2 linked regions of the Zea mays genome follow. The protein of the gene in region 1 interacts with the protein of each later gene in a pairwise test. Links are inferred from orthologs where the notes say so. Each region holds a gene or a part of one and is shown on either strand. Other genes may lie near its edges. The genes, in order: two-component response regulator-like PRR1 and protein TRANSPARENT TESTA GLABRA 1.

What was found.
Region 2: the proteins of two-component response regulator-like PRR1 (region 1) and protein TRANSPARENT TESTA GLABRA 1 interact in binary tests that used the Arabidopsis thaliana proteins (3 or more experiments, as listed by UniProt). The link is inferred for Zea mays from reciprocal best matches to the Arabidopsis thaliana genes TOC1 and TTG1.

What each region holds. Positions count from the first base shown.
Region 1 is NC_050099.1:145,826,617-145,831,173, reverse strand, and holds two-component response regulator-like PRR1, read right to left. Parts: upstream 2,926-4,557; 5' UTR 2,797-2,925; coding exon of another isoform or gene 2,649-2,796; intron 2,427-2,648; coding exon of another isoform or gene 2,317-2,426; coding exon 2,265-2,316; intron 2,174-2,264; coding exon 2,040-2,173; intron 1,916-2,039; coding exon 1,748-1,915; intron 1,576-1,747; coding exon 1,494-1,575; intron 1,386-1,493; coding exon 532-1,385; 3' UTR 285-531; downstream 1-284. UniProt on the Arabidopsis thaliana protein: Controls photoperiodic flowering response. Component of the circadian clock. Expression of several members of the ARR-like family is controlled by circadian rhythm.
Region 2 is NC_050100.1:204,509,147-204,513,700, forward strand, and holds the start of protein TRANSPARENT TESTA GLABRA 1, read right to left. Parts: upstream 3,024-4,554; 5' UTR 2,820-3,023; coding exon 1,758-2,819; 3' UTR 1,754-1,757; intron 1-1,753. Other genes in the region: pale aleurone color 1, read right to left, coding at 3,998-4,147.

The sequences.
Region 1 (4,557 bases):
TGTTCTCTTACCGTTTTAACTGTTTTTTTAACTCTTGGCTGTTAAACAATTTTCCTTGTTTAATTCATTGTTTAGGATATAAAGTTGTTTGATCTGTCCAAGCTGCCGCTGAATTTTTGGGTGATACCTATAAATTGACTAGTTAACACACAACATAAACATATGAGTATTAATCAACGTAGTTCCCCATTCCTCCAGAAATGGATCCTTGGTCATCTAAAAGACACATGGAATAAGGAATAATAGGAGGAATGTACAATAATAGCCCTGTTTTTCTCAAAAGATTATCCTGCCATAAGATCATATTGATTAGACTGGTCTGTGCAACAATAACTAGCAAAACTTCAGCTACACTTTATCAAAGATGATTTCTTCATTAAAGCAACCAGGGTAACAGCCACATGTTTTAGGGACAAAAATGTAATACTGTGTGTGAGCAAAAAGGGTGTATTGCCTAGGTCTACTGAGTTGTAACAAGATGAGCAGTAACCATCTGCAGTCTATTTTTTCACATGGAGGACCTCTCCACTACTACTCTGGAGAAGAAACCATATCTACCTCCCTGGACGATGGATCGTCATCTTCGTCTTCAGATATATCATCTCCAATGCTGATGACATCCGTATTGGTTGGCTGTCTAACAAACTGACCTCGCACCCTTGGCCTCGTTTCAGCGAGTTTCTTCCGGTTCACATACCTCACCTTCTTGTCAAAGCAGCGCTCTTTCCTCTTCAGCCTGAACTTGGCAAGTGCTGCAGCCCTCCTTTCAGAGCGACTGCATGTTTCCTCAGGCACTGGTGGTGTGCTCGATGCCGATGACCACACATTTTGCGTTGGTAAATGACTTGAGTGCGTACTCATGCCAGAAGGATTAAACTGAAATGATGGTATCACAGGTAAACCATGGCACTGAGGATAAACATTGTACTGAGGAAGCATCGCTGGCGGTGTATGTGCTTGAGCATTGTTTATGTTTGCTTGAAAATCTTGCGCCGACGAAAGTGCCATGTTGTGCTCTACCATCCCTGGGTAATAAAATGGGAAATGGTATGCAGGTGGAGTTCCTGAAGTATCATTATGGCCTTCGCTGCTTCGCTCCATATGCATGTTAGAGGAAGAAAACCATACCATAGGGTACTGCGCAGGCATCTCAAAAGCTTCTTTACTCCGAATATTTACATCAGTACCAGTGTCACTTCTATCGGTTGCGCTAGAGCAATTACCCTGGTTATCCAAGGAATCTAATCGGCTGCCACCCCTTTGTAATTCGCTGTCAAATGAGCTGGTGGCTGGGGTGCTTGGCTTGACATATGCTAGAAATGCAGACGACTCGGCAACCCTCAGGTTAGTTTTTATAGGGCGTGAAAACGCTCTTCTTGGAGAGGCTGGCAATTAAAATAATTGATCAGAAAACAGATAGAGAAATAAAGGTGATTAACAATACAAGATCAGATATTCCAGGGCAGAACAAAGGTCCGGCTGAAACATCTTACATTTTTTACTGGCATCTAGGGCAGAGCCTGGAACACCCTCCATCTTTTCTCTCTGGTCGGGCTCAGCAACCGAAGGATTAGACTGAAACACGCCAAGTGGAAGGGCATTTAAACAAGTATACTGTTAGCATGTCATCAACATACAACATAGAGCCAAAAGGGCAGATCTTTGTGGCAACGTCAAAGAACAGAACTGGAAACATAAAAAAAACCTGGACTGCAACAATCTTCCAAATGGGTGCTTGGTTCATTACCTCGTATTCAAGTTGCTTTGAGGTGCCTGTTTCTTGATTCGTGTTTCCTTTAGGCCTATCGTCGGTCTCGTCTGAGAGGAGGGTGGTGCTATTGGTATTGGCATCGCTAGGTTCTGAGAGCACCAACTCGAAGTTGTCATTGAAGAAGTTTTTCTCGGGCAAACCAAGCTGCCAACACCAGCACTCGATTTAAAGAATAATTCACGGCGGTACATCAACGCCTACGAGCATCTCAGCCTAGAGCATGCTTCTAAACGCAGAGGTTAAGGTGAGTCAGCATAGTGCCCTTTACCATCCGTCTCCGCCGCCACACATGGGTCCAAAGGTTCAGCAACTCATTCGTGCGCAGCGGCTTCACCAGGTACTCGGCGGCGCCAAGCCGCAAGCACTTGACAACAACAGACACCTCGTCTCTGTTGGACATCACTGCACGGTTCCATCGAACAGGAGGATGGTCACAGCAAGCACAATCACAGTAACAGGCACGAGGCAGGCAGAGTATAGGAATGCAGCCTACTTATGATGGGGATGTGACGCAGGTCCTTGTTCCGGGCAATGTACTTGAGCATCTTGAAGCACTTGGAGACCGGAAGATCGACCTCAGCCAGGATGATGTCGATCTCGCCGCCCTCGTAGTTGAGGATATTGATCACCTGCCGCGGAGACTTGGCGCAGGTCACTGAAAGAGAAAGTTTACCGTCACAACAGCAGCACAACAGTAAGCTGAAGGCACACATGACACCCAACAGATCCCTATCATTACAAGCCATCGTATTGGTAGTATCTATAGTACTACTAATGATTAAGCCCATGGTGAGAAGCAAGCAGAGTCCTAAATCCGGAAATCCCAACGGTTAGAGAAACTAAGTACGTGGGGGTGCAAAGGTTGACTAAGGCTAACCATGGTATGAGCAGTTGCAGAGGAGCCGCAGCACCTCCCGGGAGCTGGTGGCGTCGCCGTCGCAGAGAAGAATCCTCACCTTGCTCCGGTCCACGAACTGCTGGGCTCCCCCGACACCCACGCGATCCCCCTCGCCGCCACCCGCCATACCCAAACTCCAAACGCACCGACCACGCCTCCGGCCTCCACCAAGCGGCCAAGGGGACACGGACCGGAACCAGAGACACAGGCGCACGACGAGGGGGTCGGTGGATCTGCGCCCGCCGCCTATCACCCAATCAATCCGGGCCCCTCGCGTGCGACCACTGTGCCTTCAGATGGCTGGTTAGCAGCAGGTAGACTACTATCAGCGGCGGCGGGGGCCGCCGGGGGCCGCGGCGCCCTCCTTCGCCCGTCGCGGTCCGGCCCGCACCATTCTCCGGGGGCGGCGGCTGCGGGCGATGGCGTCTGCTCTTCTCTGCTGCGGCTGCGGCTGCGGCCTGCGGTGCTTCGCTGGAGCAGGATATTTTCCTCGCTTTTTCCGCTTTGCTCAGTGAGCGGGGTTGGGGGCACGGAGCGGCCTTGCTTCTCTCGCTCGCTCCGCGGGGAGAAGAGAAGAGAAGACGAGGGGAGGGCCGGAGGGGAGAATGCAGAGCCAGCCGCACGGCGCCGCGGCCGGGGAGTAAAATAAAAGCAAGGAACGGCTGAGCGCGCTTGGGCGAGGCGGCCAGGAGATCTCGGCCGCCCGTACCGACGTCTCGTGCAAGCAGCAGCTGACTGACGGAGCGGGTGAAAATATCTAAAACTCGCCTCCGTCAAATGCTTCGCTTTTGGCTACGTGTCCGCGAACTAGTCGCTGAAATGTTATAATCCTCGTCGGCCATCGATTGTGCGATTTTAGATTTCTTTAGACCTGTACTGCGATTTTTGGCAAAAGGACGAGGTGGAGCCACGCCCACGCTTTTGGGTTGCTCCTGGACTGGACAGTGTTACTATTTACGTCATTACGTGGAAGGACAGACACAGACCGGCTAGGTGGGGTCAGGAGCGCGACCTCGCGCTAATCTCCTCTCGTTGTTACAAAATATTATACTCTGTTCCAGAAAGAATATCATTTGACTTTTCTGAGATAAAGATTGATTGACTCGTTTTATTCAAAAAAATTTATAATTATTATTTTTCATTATGATTTAGTATCATACCGTTTACTTTAATTATAAACTAAAACTTTCTATATTTTCACAAATATTTTGAATAAGCCAAACCGGTAAAAATTTGGTCTAAAAAAAGTCAAACGACAACCTTTCTGGAATGGAGGGAGTATATGTGACCAATCAAAGATCCAAGGAATGCGACATATTTTTTCCAAGGGATACACCCCTTTGTGATACACCCCTTCATATGTATATAAACAAAACACCTTTGTAATAAAGAACTAACTGTTGTCACTTTCTCACTAACCTCGTTTTCACTAATTACAACACATTATTAGCACGTGCTCACGAGAATAGAGAGAGAAGAAGAAGAACGCTCGCTGTTTTGACAAGAACGGAGGCACCAGCCTCCAAAACGACAGGAGAGGCATGGAGCAAACCGTTTTCGTTCGCATCCGTCGAATGCGTGAAGTTCTCCATGTCGTCGATGATGCACTGTTGGAGGCGTACGCCGCTGGCCAAGATGCAGCGATCCAACCGGTGAACGCCATCATTGCACGCCGCGTTCAAGTGCACAACGTGGACTTTTTCGTGCTCCACGGATAGACAGCGATAGTGCCGCTGCCGGTGGTTGAATGCGGCCTCCCCATCGCGCTCCCATCACCGTCGGTGCCAATGGGAGACGCGGAGTCGTCGGCGACCACACCCATGGAGGTTGACTTGGCACCATCGCCTCCTCCCCCCACTGCAGCGGCAGTTCATCATCGTTCCCAACC
Region 2 (4,554 bases), on another chromosome or scaffold:
GATGTTGCAAGGGCCGTTGAGTACCTTACTACCTTCCCAGCCTTGCCCAGCAGACCTTTATCCACATAGACTTGAATCCATCAAACATACTGACATGAAAGCCATGGTGGCGAACTTTAGATTGGTTAGTCTTACACCAGATGATGGGAAGTGCATCTCCGTAGACCATAGACACAAGACTTGCTGGCACTATTGGGTACCTTGCGCCAGAGTATGCAGGTGAACATTCTATATTTTCTTACCAAGTTCATAGATGCCATGTTCAATTCAGTTGACAATCTAGCACATTACATCTAACCTACAACTACCTGTAATAATATCATTTAAGGGTTAAATATTAATAGCTTTCATGTGGAATGATTTCATTTCAAAGACCAAGCAGTCAAACACAATACATAAATGCATAATAATATAATGAAAACTTGCATATTACCATATTTCCTCTAAAAATGGCAATTTTGTAGTGATGATTATATTGTAGAAATCAGCTAACTTACTACTGTATTTTTCTTCCCTGGACCCTGGTGCATGTGCACACCCTTATAATTTGGCATCGCTCCTATGTGTAAGTACGTACTATTGGTACTTCGTACTTTAACCTTGAAAAAAAAAAGTTTGGTCTTCTCTAAGACTAGAAATTTATTGATTCTGTGCATGGAACTCAGCTCCTACATACCACATCAATGTAATATAACATTTAGACTGCTCATTCTATTATATTTTCAGTCTGAACTATCCTGATACTATAAACAATTATAAATTTAGAAATTTTAGCGCTTCTATGTGTATATATGTACATATACATGTTTGAAACTACACAATTCTATATCTTTTATAAACATATCAAGCAACACCTTGCGCGGAGCGCGAGCAATTTACTAGTTGACATTATGTTTAACCTATTTATGGAACCATTTACCTTCATTCAGCTAGCACAACACTAGCCTGAACTTCCTTGGTGAAAACTGGACCTTTTTCTCAAGTTCACAAAAAGAGTGTTCAATTCAGGACTGCATGTTTGCATTGGAAAGTGATAACATAGATCACCAATTATATATCGATTTAGCTTAAGTTCCAAGGAATTTTCAAATAAAGACGAACTTATTCTAAATTCCTCATACATGCATTTACTAAATACTGTATTTAGCACTTATAATCAGCACATACAGAAAAAGAAAGCAGCTCGTGTCCTTGTGGATAATTCATAATAGATGCGCAAAAAATAGCAACTTCCAGGCTTCATAGGACTAAAAAAATTAGGTTACCATATATGGTAATACTGACAGAGTTAGCTCTGTATGAATCTTCAGTAAAGTTGTACAATTACACTACCTCATGCCAATGTGTAACAATGTGCGTGATAGTCTTTATACCCCTTTTGGATGTAGATGTTCAAGACTGGAATTGGAAATAGGAATTCTAAATTCTGCTGTTTGGCTGGCTAAAGAATTCAGAGCTGGAATTAAAGTTCAATTCCTTGGAATTGAACTTTAACTAAAAAGTGTCTCTCACAATTCAGATCCAAGATTCTAGGTATTGTATGGAATTGCAATTCCAGATACACCCAAACAACATATTTGTATTGAACCTCATTTCCAATACTAGACAGATAAGGTATTGGATCTAATTCAATACCAACATCTCCAATATCTACATCCAAACAGACCCTTAGTTAAATCTAAATTTATTGACATAATCAACAGAAACTATATAGAAATGAAAGCATCAAACCAAAGATCACCATGATACCAACCTTGTCAGACCCTAAGAAGCTGGACCTTGTTCTCAAAGGCGATGGCCATCCAGTCCGGGTGCGCGGCCGCCCACTGAAGTTGGTTTATTTCGGCGCCTGCATCGTACACTAGCACAGGATCAATCCCCTCGGCGGGTACAGCCGCCGCCGTCTCAGGCAGTTCCCAGATCAATGCTTGCCCGTCGTCCCCAGCCGAACAGAGGTGCCTAGTGGCTTGCGGCGCCCACGCGACTGCGTTGGCGCACGCCCGGTGCCGGTGCAGCTCGGCCACCGGCACCCCGGGCGCACGTATGTCGAGCACGACGACGGCGCTGCTGTCCATGAGCAGCGCGGCCATATAGCGGAGGTCAGAGCGGTTCCACGCCAGCCTTAGTAGCGGCGTGTCGGGGCGGGGGCTCTCGTAGACGATGGTGGAGTGCTCCTTGTCCCGAAGGTCGAAGACGCGGACGGAGCCGTCGGCCGATACGGAGGCGAAGACCCCGGCCTCCCCCCAGGCGATGTCGTGCACGGCCTTGTCGTGCGCGATGAGCTGCGTCTCCACGACCCCGCGATCGATGTCCCAGACGGTGCAGGTGGTGTCGATGGAGGCGGTCCCGATACGGCGGGGCTCGACCTCGTTCCAATCGAAGGAGGTGAGGGGTGCGCAGAACTCGGAGGAGGCCTTGCGGTTGTCGAGAACGGAGCGGAGCTCGGGCGCGGGGGCGGTGTCGGAGAGGTCGTCGAGCGGGGTGTGCCAGATGCGGAGCGTGTCGGCGGAGGAGGCGAGGAGGGACGGCGCGGCGGCGCGGGGGTTGAACTGGAGCTTGGTGGGTGGGTAAGGGTGGTCGAAGGAGAGCGCCGGGAGGGCGCGGAAGGAGGCGGCGGAGGGGCGGACGGGGTCGAAGGAGAGCAGGGAGACGCGGTTGTGGAGGTCCTCGAGGAAGCTGCCGGAGGCGAGGACGGGCGCGACGGGGGAGAAGGCGAGCGCGTAGATCGAGTGCGGGAGCTCGCAGGTGAAGGCGTGCGGGTTCGGCGTCTCCGGCCCCGACGACGAGGCGACCGAGGACGGCGGCTTGGGTGGGTCCATTGAGTGGAGAATTCGGGTCGATAGATGTGGGGGCGAAGCTGCGCGGGGGCCGATCCTGCTGGGACTTGAGAGGTGATAAAAGGAGCGACGCGCGCGTGCGAGCGGTAGGTAAACGGCGGCCGGGCACGGGGGTTGAACGATGCGGGCGGCGGCTCGCCGGGCTGAGGACTGAGGTTGTGCCGTTGTGGTAGAAGTGGAACTGGAACGTGGGATGACGTGGGTAGAGTTTACCAAAAACCAGTAGTCAACGAAAACGGTTTACCTCTAGGAAACCGACGGTTTTTGCTAAAACTGAACGATTTAAATTTTAAATTAAAAAACTTTCGAAAATCTGTAAATCAACAAATCAGTAAATAGTTAAAACCCGGTTTTCGTCAGTTTCTAAATTTTTCGACCGGTTTATATTCTTCAAATTAAACAAAAAAATGCTGATTAATTTTTTACCGGTTTTTCGTTGTTTTTACAAAAATGCTGATTAATTTTAAAAAAATAAAATTAAATATAAGATGTACCAGGAGAACACGTGGTTATATCATATTTTTTATTTTTTTATAAAAAAAATAAAAAAATACGTTTTGGACGAATTTTTAAAAGTCGACTCGAAAACGTTACCGATAATGGGAATCTCGACCGGTTTTTGTAATCCTTCCCGGCGACGAGTCAGCCGTCGTCTGGTCAAAGTTTGTTGCCCATGTCACCGGATCCCTGGTCAGGTCATTTCGTGGACTGGGAATCTTTGGTTCGTTTCTAGCGCCGGGGACATGAGTTCGTCGACGTCGACTCCATGGTTCATTTCTAGCGCCGGGGACATGCGCATCTCATCCTGGCAGGATGCGCATGCTCAGATAACTTTGATGAAGAGCACGTAATCGACGAATAACAACAACACATCCTTCACGATATTCGATAAGGCTTGGGCAACAAACAGGCATAAGAAGCATACAACATTAAGCGAAACAAACCACATGATGAGCATAAATTAACATCAGAGCCACTTAAATAGAGCACGTTTCTCTATTACTAAAGCAGATAGGTGTACAAGAAACCTGAGTCTATAGGCAGACTTTTTTTTTGAATAACCAAGCATCAAATGTCATTGTATTCCGACAAGTCAAAAAACTCATGGCGACATTACTCTCACGAGCGATCTTCGAAACCATCTCCTTATTCATGTGATCTTAGCGCTGGGAAGTGAACAATGCGCGGCTGACAATACCAGTGGCCTCAATGTAGCGGTCAACACAACGTGATATGCAGCTGCTCTCGCTTCCACTCAAGCTTGATCCTGGCTTGGTCACGCACTTTTCAAAGCACTTGTTCCCGACGGTCTGCAAGACAGATCAACACCACCTGTGAGCTTAAGAAATTTCACCATATGAAATGGCAGGAATTTCCTAGATTCATCCTTTTGCGCTTTCGTGTGTAATCTTTGTTTATTTAAGTTTGTAGAGGCAATCAGCATCATCCTATTTGTTTTTTAATAAAAACTTGGCAACATGTGGAAAAAAGACTGGCAATTTCCTAGATACATCGTGTTGTCCCCTCAGGGCTGTGAATCTTCCAAGGCAACTAAATAGTTTTTAAATTCGCTCATGTGACCCCCAAAGAAGAACTAGTCAATTGTTCGGGCTCAACACATTGCACGTGACCCAAGGCGAAAAATTAATACTGGTGGCACAGAAACAAGGAAGAAACTTCCAATATAATTGGCTAATTGCATGTATACTGCTTGTTA